Macaca fascicularis: one gene and its partners. The protein of the gene in region 1 interacts with the protein of each later gene in a biochemical or structural test. Links are inferred from orthologs where the notes say so. Each region holds a gene or a part of one and is shown in the gene's direction. Other genes may lie near its edges.

What was found.
Region 2: the proteins of DMD (region 1) and SNTA1 form a complex in vitro, tested with the Homo sapiens proteins (2 studies listed by BioGRID, with this or other methods). The link is inferred for Macaca fascicularis from reciprocal best matches to the Homo sapiens genes DMD and SNTA1.
Region 3: the proteins of DMD (region 1) and DTNA form a complex in vitro, tested with the Homo sapiens proteins (3 studies listed by BioGRID and IntAct, with this or other methods). The link is inferred for Macaca fascicularis from reciprocal best matches to the Homo sapiens genes DMD and DTNA.

Annotation. Positions count from the first base shown.
Region 1 is NC_088395.1:33,307,116-33,311,273, reverse strand, and holds the start of DMD (dystrophin), read left to right. Parts: upstream 1-1,326; 5' UTR 1,327-1,562; coding exon 1,563-1,593; intron 1,594-4,158. UniProt on the Homo sapiens protein: Anchors the extracellular matrix to the cytoskeleton via F-actin. Ligand for dystroglycan.
Region 2 is NC_088384.1:89,447,788-89,451,437, reverse strand, and holds part of SNTA1 (alpha-1-syntrophin), read left to right. Parts: intron 1-1,464; coding exon 1,465-1,650; intron 1,651-3,650. UniProt on the Homo sapiens protein: Adapter protein that binds to and probably organizes the subcellular localization of a variety of membrane proteins. May link various receptors to the actin cytoskeleton and the extracellular matrix via the dystrophin glycoprotein complex.
Region 3 is NC_088392.1:55,350,938-55,355,337, reverse strand, and holds the start of DTNA (dystrobrevin alpha), read left to right. Parts: upstream 1-1,576; 5' UTR 1,577-1,790; intron 1,791-4,400. UniProt on the Homo sapiens protein: May be involved in the formation and stability of synapses as well as being involved in the clustering of nicotinic acetylcholine receptors.

The DNA of each region.
Region 1 (4,158 bases):
ATTGTTTTCATTTTTTTCATTTTGTTTTATGAAAATTTTGCTTATATGCATATTTAGACAACCACACAGAGGAAAGGAGGTGACCTAGGGAAAAGAATGTTTTCAATTAAAATTAAGCCTTATGTTTTATCTCATACACATTTTGCTGGGGAAAATAGCCATGTTATGACAATAATATTCTAAAACGCAAAATGTATAATTAACTATTAAGGTAAACATCACAGTCTGACTCTATAATTTTTTTTTATTTTTGTCTATTACTCATTTCAGTCGCAAGCAGTTGAATGTTTGACATAGAAAAATGAGTCTGTCACTTTAACAAATGGTACAATAAAAACACTCAAACAAAAATTTTAGTAGGGATTATTATAACTATAAAAAGAATATCTTTCTTTAAAAAATGCTACCAATGTTTTCTATCAATTTGGGGCTCGCCTGTTGCATAAAAGTAATAAGGAACAAGATGAAGAAGACTTCTATTGGCAAAGAATGATTTACATGCTGAATGACATAATACAACTGCATTCACTTAATACAGAAAAAAAAGAGCCTGCATTCAGAACCATTAAATGATCATTAACTCAATGTCTAAGAAAATGGTGTTTTAAGAATTGGCAGCAGAGAAATGGAAGAAAGAATAATTTGTTAGTAAAGAAGTTTTATCATAATTCACAACTGAAATTTAGGATTTGAGAAAAATGTCTTTGCTCCATTATAAGAATATTCTTTATTTTAGCAGGAAAACATGTCCCATGAGACCTACACACACATTCTGCCTTCAGAATTCAGCTGCTGTGTTCTGCTGCTGCTTCTCTTATTCAGACTGTTGGCATCATCAATACATGACTTTTGCAATCAAAAATCTCAAGGGGAAAAAATAACTTTGGTAGGCAGTGGATACATAACAAATGCATAGATTATTCTGGGCATTTCTTTTTATTTGGTAGAGTGAAATTTTTGGTGTTGTTGAGAGGATAAAAAAGGCATTTAAAAGTCAATTTTAAATCGGGATTTTCTGCTCTGTTATAAATTCACATGAAAGTTACAGAAAATATTGTTATGGTTTTGTACTGAATAGTTTTTGTGTTTGGAAGGCTTTAAAAGCTAGTACTATGTCCACTGTGCTATTCTGGTTTGGATATTAATCAGAACACAGTTGAGCATTATTTGAATTCACAGAGCTTGCCATGCTGGAAGCACAACCTTATATGTAGTGACCATGGACAGTCCTATTATGGGAAACCAACTTGAGAGAGAAGGCGGGTCACTTGCTTGTGCGCAGGTCCTGGAATTTGAAATATCCAGGGGCCTCTACAGAATCCTGGCATCAGTTACTGTGTTGACTCACTCAGTGTTGGGATCACTCACTTTCCCCCTACGGGACTCAGATCTTAGAGGCAATTACCTTCAGAGAAAAATGAATAGGAAAAACTGAAGTGTTATTTTTTTAAAGCTGCTGAAGTTTGTTGGTTTCTCATTGTTTTTAAGCCTACTGGAGCAATAAAGTTTGAAGAACCTTTACCAGGTTTTTTTAATCGCTGCCTTGATATACACTTTTCAAAATGCTTTGGTGGGAAGAAGTAGAGGACTGTTGTAAGTACAAAGTAACTAAAAATGTATTTTACTGTGGCATAATGTTTAGTTTGTGACAAACTCACTAATTAGGTAGATTGATTTTAAATTATCACAGTAGTTTGCAAAGAAGCATAAATGTTATATATACTGCATATATATATGTATTTATTCAGGAATATATATTTTTCATTGGGAAAACTTTTCAATAGAAATTGAGTTTATAAGTTTTTCTTTGCAGAAGAATTAAACACATGATTTCTTGATTAATAAGCCACTGCAGTAATAGAATATGCAGAATGTCATTTGATTATAACAGATTATTTTGATTGCTGTGAGATAGTTTGTATATCTCAGTTATTATTTTGACTAGTTGATACTTCTGTATTTAGTAACAGTTACATAAAGGTTACTGACCTGACATATATTCTCAATTGAACTAACTACTGTATAGGAACTACATGGAGGCCTAAAAGTTAGGAGAAGTTTCTCTGACATATGGAGAAAATAAAGAATAAAATGAGTTGGGATGGAAAATTGAAGGATGTGAAAAGTATTGATAAAGATTTAATTGTAATGTTGCTTTCTCACATTTACTATTTCAAATGCTCTTTTCTATAGCATACCATGATGATTATTTCAAATAATGATGTGATCTATGCTATCAAATGATCAGATGATCTCTTGGGAAAACAACATACAAACTTGAGGAACTCCTAATTATGTTTAGTAGTAAATTATATTTAGTAGATGTTTCAAGTCTATCATGAGCTAGCTTTTCAGTTCAATTTTTTAGTTTGTCTTCCATATAGAAATGCAACTATTTTGTTTATTTTTAAGAAAGTCATGATGACTATTGAAGGATTTAAAAATGGACTGTGGCACAACAGTAAAAATAATATATGATAAGGACTGTGTGTCCCAAAAAGATGGGAGTTTATCTCTTCCCCACCTATCTTTGACTTGTGGAGTATAGTTATTCTAAAATAGATATGAGAGCGATGCCTATAATTAAGAATGAAAAAATAAGTCTCTCCAAATAAGTAATGCTCCACAACTACTAAAAAAAAAAAAAAAAAAGGCAGACGTTTTACCACTGTGAAAAATTTGTGGAAATAAGTTAACATTGTCCATGTATTGAGTCACATTAAAAGCTACCAGATTTTATAATACAACATTTAGTTACATTGTTTGCTTGCTTCATAAATTTCTTTTGGTGAGTATCATTATTGCTTTTAGATTGAAAAACTATTATATTTACTATCATTACAAAAATATGCATGGCATATATCTGTTGTTTGCAATATACACATATACACATATTTTTATTTATCATTTTTATTTCTTTGATATATGTAATATAAATACTATCAAAATCGCTAGTGATTTTATATATATATATATATTCTATATAATTAACCACATATACCAGTATATAGAGCAATTTTGAAAGAATATATGCAATTCTGCTGGAATGAAGCAAGGTAAACCTATCCTCTGCTTTGTCATAGATAGTTGAAAAACTTTCAGTTCTTCGAATGTGAAGGAAGGTAATCTTTTTGGAACATGTCCTGTAGGATTTTTTCACACTGCATTTAAAAAATCATCAAGTAATGCCTATGCAACATGACAATGAGTTTGTTAAGGAAAATGGAGATATACTCAGGGCTATATTATACATTAAATTTTGTTGCTTGACAATATACTACTATTTGGATGTCTGACATTTGAATCTGGTTTGTAAATTCGCCTTAGTTTGAAAAACTTATAAAAGTACATTTTGTTTTTTAAACAGAATAGTTACTCTGTAAAAGAGATCACTGTATTGTCAAACACATTGTATTGTTTACTTTTAGAATTACTCAAATAATGCATTGTAAAGAATTATTCAAATAGTGTATGGCAAATAGATATTTCATTTGAATATATTTAAATGATGTAAGTCATCTTGAGGTCTAACAAAATCATCTTTTAGAATTTCATTTGCAGAATCTTTTAAAGACATCTTAACTATGAAAAAGAGATCGCTGATCTAAATTGATGATATACTGTTAATACAAAGTTTTGGTGTATCTTACATGGCATAACATTATGAAAAATACAACAGAGTATGTCATATAGATGTTATTCTAAACTTTAAAAAAGACTACAAAGTGTTTTATGCATAATTACATTATTTAAGGGGAAATAGGTGTTGGTTGACACTTCTAGCTAGACAGTACTGAATTGCAAATTCATCATTTGGGCAGAGATATTAATACAGCTTCCTCTTTATTCCTATAGCATTCATTTGAAATCCCTGTACTCCACGTCATTTGCTATATATGAAACAAATTGTCAAGTTTTTAACCACTTGTGTAGTTTAATAAAAGAGATTAAAATCATTGCCTTGGAAACATCAGGTGTTTTTCAAAATTCTATTTTATTATCTTTCATCAAAATTTTATCTCAAGAGTAAAACAAACTGATTTCCCAAACTTTCCTTCTCCTCCCACTTTCTATTGTAATATTTTCCTAACTTATTAAAAATGATTTATCATACTCTTTCATCAATTTATTCTTTATTTCATCACACATATGAGAAAT
Region 2 (3,650 bases), on another chromosome or scaffold:
TGCTCTGTTGTCCAGGGTGGAGTGCAGTGGCGCAATCTCGGCTCACTGCAACCTCCACCTCCTGGGTTCAAGCAGTTCTCGTGCCTCAGCCTCCTGAGTAGCTGGGATTACAGGCACACCCACCATGCCTGGCTAATTTTTGTATTTTGATTTTATTTTGAGACGGAGTCTTGTTCTGTCACCCATGCTGGAGTGCAGTGGTGTGATCTTGGCTCACTGCAACCTCTACCTCCCAGGTTCAAGCGATTCTGCTGCCGCAGCCTCCTGAGTAGCTGGGACTACAGGCGTGTGCCACCAGGCCCAGCTAATTTTTTGTGTTTTTATTTATTTATTTATTTATTTATTTATTTATTTGAGATGGAATTTCACTTTTATTGTCCAGGTTACAGTGCAATGGTGCAATCTTGGCTCACTGCAACCTCAGCCTCCCAGTTCAAGCGATTCTCCTGCCTCAGTCTCCCGAGTAGCTGGGATTATAGGCATCCACCACCACTCCCAGCTAATTTTTTGTATTTTTGGTAGGGACAGGATTTCACTATGTTGGCCAGGCTGGTGTCGAACTCCTGACCTCAGGTGATCCACCCGGCAGCCTTGGCCTCCCAAAGTGCTGGATTACAGGCATAAGCCACCACACCTGGCCCTTTTTTATGTTTTTAGTAGAGGCAGGGTTTCACTATGTTGGCCAGGCTGGTCTCAAACTACTGGCCTCAAGTGATCTGCCCGCCTTGGCCTCCCAAAGTGCTGGGATTACAAGCGTGAGCCACTTTATCTGGTTATTTTCATTTTTAGTTTTTGTGGGTACATAGTAGGTGTATATATTTATGGGGTACATGAGAAAATCCAAAATATTTAAGAAAAAGTGATTGAAGCACTTTGTAAGTTGCACAAACACTAGTGAACACCCAAAGCACTTAATCAAAAGATCCAGGGATCAAACTATAGCATTATGAATTTTGAAAATGATTCATTTAATTAATTAATTTGTTTATTGACACAGGGTCTCCTTCTGCCACCCAAGCTGGAGTGCAGTGGCACAATCTCAGCTCACTGTAGCCTCGACCTCCTGGGCTCAAGTAATCCTACTTTAGCCTCCCTAGTAGCTGAGACCACAGGTGCCTGCCACCACGCCTGGCTAATTTTTTTATTTTGAGTAGAGGCGGGGTTTTGCCATGTTGCCCAGGCTGATCTTGAACTCCTGAGCTCAGGTCATCTGCCCACCTCAGCCTTCTAAGGTGCTGGGATTACAGGCATGAGCCACCGAACCTGATCGAAAATGATGTACTATTAGTATTACTAGTGTCCCAAACTTCCAAGACGTTTCTCAGATTCCCTTTATTCTCCTATTCCGTTTTCCAGCACGGGGCTAGGCACCAAGGGAAGCCTTCAGAAATAATTGTGCCTCGATGCAACTCCCAATTGTCGGAGTATCTGCCTCAGTCTTGTCCTCCTTCTGTGCCTATGCAGGCGGCCGGGAGAACAAGATGCCTATTCTCATTTCCAAGATCTTCAAGGGATTGGCAGCTGACCAGACAGAGGCTCTTTATGTGGGGGATGCCATCCTGTCCGTGAATGGGGAAGACTTGTCCTCTGCTACCCATGATGAGGCGGTGCAGGCCCTCAAGAAGACAGGCAAGGAGGTGGTGCTGGAGGGTAAGCACGGACGTTCCAGGGTCCAGACGGGCCGGGTGGACATGTTCCACTGCTTCCCTACCTCCCCCAGGCCTCAAGAGGCCCCAGCCCAGCACTGGGGGCTGGGAGATGGGCAGGATTGAAAATAGAAACAGAACTTAGGGACCTGCCTGAAGACAGCGTGGGGTGGTGGAGGGAGAGCTGGCACAGAGCTAAGCAGAACTGGTTTGCATTTTCTGTCTTCCAGTCACTAGCTGTGTGGCCCTGGACAAGTCACTTCATTTCCCTGAGCCTTAGTTTCCTCATCTGTAAAACGGGGATGTAGCTCCTGCCTTTCTGGGTTGTTGCGACTAGGGCAAAAAGGTACATGGCAAAGTGTGCCAGCCCCTGAGTGACACAGGGAGAGAGGGGTGCAGACTGGGGAAGGGGCAGCTCAGATTATTTCCTTTGGGGCCTGGAGAGCTCTTGACTTCAGGTTCTTTTGGTTCCTGGACCTTAAAACCCTAAGACCCATCTTCCTTTGGGAGAAGCCTCAGCTTTTATTTTACTTTATTTTTTTTTGAGATGGAATCTTGCTCTGTTGTCCAGGCTGGAATACAGTGGCATGATCTTGGTTCATTGCAACCTCTGCCTTCTGGGTTCAAGTGATCCTCCTGCCTCAGCCTCCCAAGTAGCTGGGATTACAGGTGTGCATCACCATGCCCAGCTAATTTTTGTATTTTTGTAGAGACAGGGTTTTTCCATGTTGGCCAGGCTAGTCTTGAACTCCTGACCTAAGGTGATCCACCTGCCTCGGCCTCCCAAAGTGCTGGGATTACAGGCATGAGCTGCCACATCTGGAAGCCTTGGCTTTTATAGAGCAGGACATCAGATCCTTCCAGCGATGATCAGAGAGGAGTTTTGTGGTGGAACCTTGTTGGATGACTTTCTCCACTCTTCCCTCACAGTGTGGTCTTGGGTGGGACACTTGCCCTCTGTGGGCCTCAGCTTCCCCATCAGTTGTTATAGGCCTCCTGCTGAGGTTGTCCCACGACCATCTTGTGCCATGTCTCTCAAGAGGTTTCTGCTTTGCTCAGCCCTTTCCTCAAACTCTGTCAGCTCTGGAAGCCAGTGGAGGCCTGAGGAATGTGTCTCTGGCTTATGGCCCAGAACAGACACACGGAGGTGGCGGGGGCTGATGGAGAATAACACGGCCAGAGAAGCTGCTGAGTTGAGTCCCAGGCCCAAATCCTGGTGGGTTGCCTTGGTTTCCCTAAAGGAGTGTCCAAGAGGCCACAGAAGCAAATAGGTTCTGAGTCCTTGATTGATCTTTGGCCTTCTTGTGGCCCCAGACCTCAATTCCCATTCGTTTTTGTTTTATTTTATATTTTAGGTATATCTATTTAAATGTCATGGATACATTTTTCTTTTTCTTGTTTTTTTTTTTTTTTTTTGAGACAGGGTCTTGCTCTGTCACCAGGCTGGAGTACTGTAGTATGATCTTGACTCAATGTACCCTCCACCCGCCGGGGCTCAAGCAATCCTCCCACCTCAACCTCCTGAGTAGCTGGGACTACAGATGCATGCCACCATGCCTGGCTAATTTTTTTTTTTTTTTTTTTTTGAGGTGGCGTCTCACTCTGTCACCCAGGCTGGAGTACAGTGGCATGATCTCGGCTCACTGCAACCTCTGTTTCCCGGGTTCAAGCAATTTTTCTGCGTCAACTTTCCAAGTAGCTGGGATTACAGGCGCCCATTACCATGCCCGGCTAATTTTTGTATTTTTAGTAGAGATGAGGTTTCACCATATTGGCCAGGCTGGTCTCAAACTCCTGAGCTTGTGATCCACCTGCCTTGGCTTCCCAAAGTGCTAGGATTACAGGCGTGAGCCATCGTGCCTGACTTTTTTTTTTTTTCTTTTTGAGATGGAGTCTCACTCTGTTGCCCAGGTTGGAGTGCAGTGGCAAGATCTCAGCTCACTGCAACCTCCACCTCTCGGGTTCAAGCAATTCTTCTGCCTCAGCCTTCCGAGTAGCTGGGAC
Region 3 (4,400 bases), on another chromosome or scaffold:
TTGATCCTCTTTTTCTTCTCCTTTTGTTTCCTTCTCTTCTTTACTTTCTTATCTTGTAACTTCATTCCCCCTCCTTTTCCCCCCTCTTGACTCCTTTCTCTTCTGCCTTTTCTCTGACCATTCTCTCTTTCATACTATTTGTTTTCTTTTTGGGTTATTAGAAGGCTAGTTAGCTGCTCGAATTTCTTATCTACACTGAAAAGAAGCTACCCAAGAGTGTTCTTTCTGAGAACTTTTACAATATAAATCATTCCCCATTTACTGTTTATGTGAGTATGGTGAAAGTGTAAGAGAAGGGCAAGGTTACACATAATTACGTTGGCCATTTAGAAGGTAGGAGGGTTAATGACAAGACTGAAATATAGGGCACATAGGCAAATGAGATGATTTTAACATGGAAGAGAAATTAAGTAAAAAGAAAATAAAAGTATCTTGTGCTTTCTTTGTGATAACTCACAACACCAAAATAACAAAGATTTTTATCTGCAGTCATTCCGTATATGTATCTTGTCTCAACAACTAGATGTAAACTAAAAAGTACTTGTATTAAACTTCTTTATGTCCTTCAAAATGTAGCATAGCTCTTCATATACACCAGGTGAAAAGGGTTTCAATGACATATACAAATTATGAAATTGGTGACTACTTCAGAAACATTGGCTCAATTTGCTAGAAATTACTATCTAAGCATTTAAACAATGCAACTGGATATAAATGTACGCATACACATGCATACACACAACACATTCCCCCAAAAAGAAATAAAATTATATGAAAACGTGAAATTGGAAATACAATACTAGAGAAAATTATATGAAAACATACATATAGTAAGAAAAAATAATTTTCAGTCTCGGTAACTTAAAAATAATCAACAATGTTTTCATTATTTTCAGTAACCTAAGTATCTGAGAATTGATTACAGTGAAAAAGCAACCTGTGAGTAGCTGTGCAATTAATATTTATAGTGAGATATTGACTTATTATGTGTACTTGGGTAGGTCATGTTATCTTACTTATGCTTCTGTGTCTCTGAAGTGACAATACTATTTGCCTTTTCATCTACCTCCTCTGCAAAGATGCTCTGCAAATAAATGAGGTAATGTTTGGGGAATGTTTGCAGCTTGGGAAAGAAACCCACTGCATACATCTAAGAATATTCCATATTCAAGCCTGGTATATTTTGCCTCTGTTTTAAATTGAAATTGTACTGTTTAAGTTCTTGGGTTCTGACCAAAATCTGGGTCAACATAAGAGAATAATTATTTTTAATTTTAATTCTGAGTCTCTGTTCCCATCTCCTGCACGTGTGAGGGAAAACTGGAGGAAATAAACAAAGCACATAAATCAAGCTTTGGAAGAGAAAAATCTCTATCTGGAAGGATTTCTTTTTTTTCTTTTTCTTTTTTTTTTTTTTTTCAATGATGAGCGTGCCCACTATTTCCCTAGAGGAATATTTCGGTCCAGGAAGGAGGATAGTGCATTCAGTGTGAGAGTGTGTGTGTGTGTGTGTGTGTGCTGTGCGTGCGCGCCCGCGGAGAGAGGGGCGGGGGAGGCGGATGAGGAGGATGAGATCATAGTTTCAGGATCCTCAGGAAACCCTGGTACTGGCAGCAGCCAGCCTCTGCTGTGCCCACATGACCCACAACTCTGGCAGCGGACCCGGCACTTCCAACATTATTAAATAATAAGAAAGCGGCTCCTACTCCAGGCTCAAACCTCCCTGCAGACCAATGGACGCCTTCTAAGAGTTTGGCGAGTCGGTGACTGAAGCGCCCGTCCATTCCAAGGTGTGTGCAAGGCGTTTTCTTCCTTGACAGCTCCAGAGTGGGGGAGGGCGCGGGGGTGGAGGAGGTCCGTGTGCCGGGCGAGGAGTGGGCGCGAGGCCGGGCTGCCGCGCTGCCCACGGCCGCCCGGTGCAGCGGGGCCCGCCGCGGGGCGGGAGGTGCACATGACGCGCAGCCCCGAATGCGCAGGGACCGCAGCCGCCCACGGCGCCGGGGCGCGGGCAAAGGCGGCTCGGCGCTGGAGCAAGGGCAGGCGCCGCACACCGACCAAAGTCAAGAGTGGAAGCGGGCGGAGAGCGCCGGCGGGGGCAGGGATTCGCCTCAACGCCCACTCGCGGGGTTCCCACCTGTGCGCCGGCGCCGGCCGCGGCTAGCGCGAAGCATGTGCCGGGCGCCGCAGCCAGGACTGCGGCGCGGCGCCTCCCCGGGCGGCGGGCGGCGCCTCGGGCCCGCGGGGCGGCGGTAGCGGCTGCTGCAGGATGTCCGGCCTGGGGGCGCGGGGCCGCGCAGGTAAATCGCCGCCGCCCTCGAAGGCCCCCGCAGCGCCGCAGCCCCCGCTGCTGCCGCGGCGCCGCTCGGGGGGTGGCGATGGCAGCTGGCTCCCTCGCGTCGCGGGTTGAGTTGTTTTTGTTGTGGTCGCTGCCCTCTTGGTCATCCTCGCGTGCTGAGCTGGTGGGAGGTGGCGTGTCTACCTCCATTAGGGATGATACTCACGTCGGGGAACAGTCTGAGGGGTATTGACCGGGACATCCGCGATGGTTTCCTTTGCAGCCAGCGGCGTCCTCTCGTGTTGCAATGCACTGCGGTGCCCGGGCCGATGCCAGAGTGGGAGTGGGCTCTGGGCCCTGGGGACGGGGGGCGGCGGGGACGGGTGGGGACGGGGGTGAGTGTCTTCGGCGTTTATAGCCTGTTGCCCACTTCGAAGTTTTCTGCTGGACAGAGGGCAGGCGGGAGGTTCCTTCTGTTATCCGGAGTGGGAGGTGGAGAGAGGTGTCTGTCAAAAGACCAAAGCCAAAGAGAGAAGGGGGTGGCGACCCCGGGGCTGGGAATCAGTGGTACCACTCCTGGGACTTGATGGTAAAACTTTGCTCTTTGGCAGGCTTAGGGTATGACTTTGGGAAGATAACTGTAGAACTTGGCAGGGAGGGGGCAGAGGGAGGCGCAGATATTGGATGTACCTTGCAGTGAAGCTTACCATGCTTTAGGTTCTTACTCTAAAAATTGTCTTTTAAGTTGATGCTTATGTTTTCCTGTTATATGTCATCACTTGGCATTTAATGTGCTTGTGTTTCCTTTCTAATCTAAGAGATACTTGTACTGTTGAAGTGTACAGTTACTGATTTCTTTAAAAAAATAATGGTTTTTTTTCTTTTGCTTATTCCAAAGGTGGAAACTTTAGGAAAAAAGTGTTCCACATGTTCCACGGTTCTATATGGTTTAGATTGATTCACCGTCTTAATTCTTAGACCACCAGGGGGGTAGATAATATTAATAAACAACTTTTGCAGGTGAGAAAATCCAGGCACAGAGAGGCAAAATAACTTACCCAAGGTCATACATTTATTAAGTGTTAGAGTCTAGTTGGACTTTTCATGCGCCCCTAATCAACTCATTATACCTAAAGTCTTCTATATTGACCACATCTTTCTATGAAGATGAGCCTTAATAGGTATGTGCTGCATGTTCAGAATAATTAACTCTTTTTCCACTTTTTCTTCTTATTCTAACTTTCAATACTAAAATTATGGCAAATAATGTTTGAGTAGTTTCCTTTCACCACAATTAACCAAGTGTCCTACAATAATTAAAGTTGCATGTCCTACAGTGACTAAAGTTGCATTTCACAACAAAGTTGAGATTTTCAGCAGGTAAGATGTATCAACAAGGTAAATTATTGTAAAGCAGATGGCTAAAGCTATGTGTTTGCAATTAATTTTAAATTTCCTAGGTTATTAGTCGGTTCTTTGTTCAGATCATGGCCATCGTTTTCTTCAGAACACCACCATCTTGCAGATTTTTGAGCAAGTTTAGTTGTATTTAATCCACTCACTCTGGCGAGAGTTGGGCAGTTTTAAAAGAATTATGCAATTCTCTTTGGACTATCAGTGATTAGAAGCAAGCTGTATTTTAAGGGCATTCGAGTTTGTCATGTCATTTAGCCAATTGTATGTACTTTATACTGAATTGTGTAGCAGTGAAGACTGAAATCAGATTTTCTCATTAGTTCTAAGTTGAAATACTTTTAAAATCTCCACTTGTTTTAAATGAACCATGATGTGAAGAAAGGTCTCAATGGGGTGAGCTCCAACTTACATGGAGAATTACTCTCACATATTTAGAGAATTACTCTTCATTTGAGCTTATCATAGAGCTTTCACAATATTCATTTTATTGGGCAGATGTCTCTTAAGTCTTCATCTGTTATTTTTTTTCAAGTAAACTTTAATTGCTTCTTCACATAACGAGTTTCAAAATTATTTTGACATTCATAGATTTCCTTTAATTCTCATCTTTCACTTTAATTAAATTCAATATATATAATTTCAAACTCACACTCAACATTATAAGTAAAAAGAGACTAGAATCCAACTAAATGGCATGGAAACATGATCT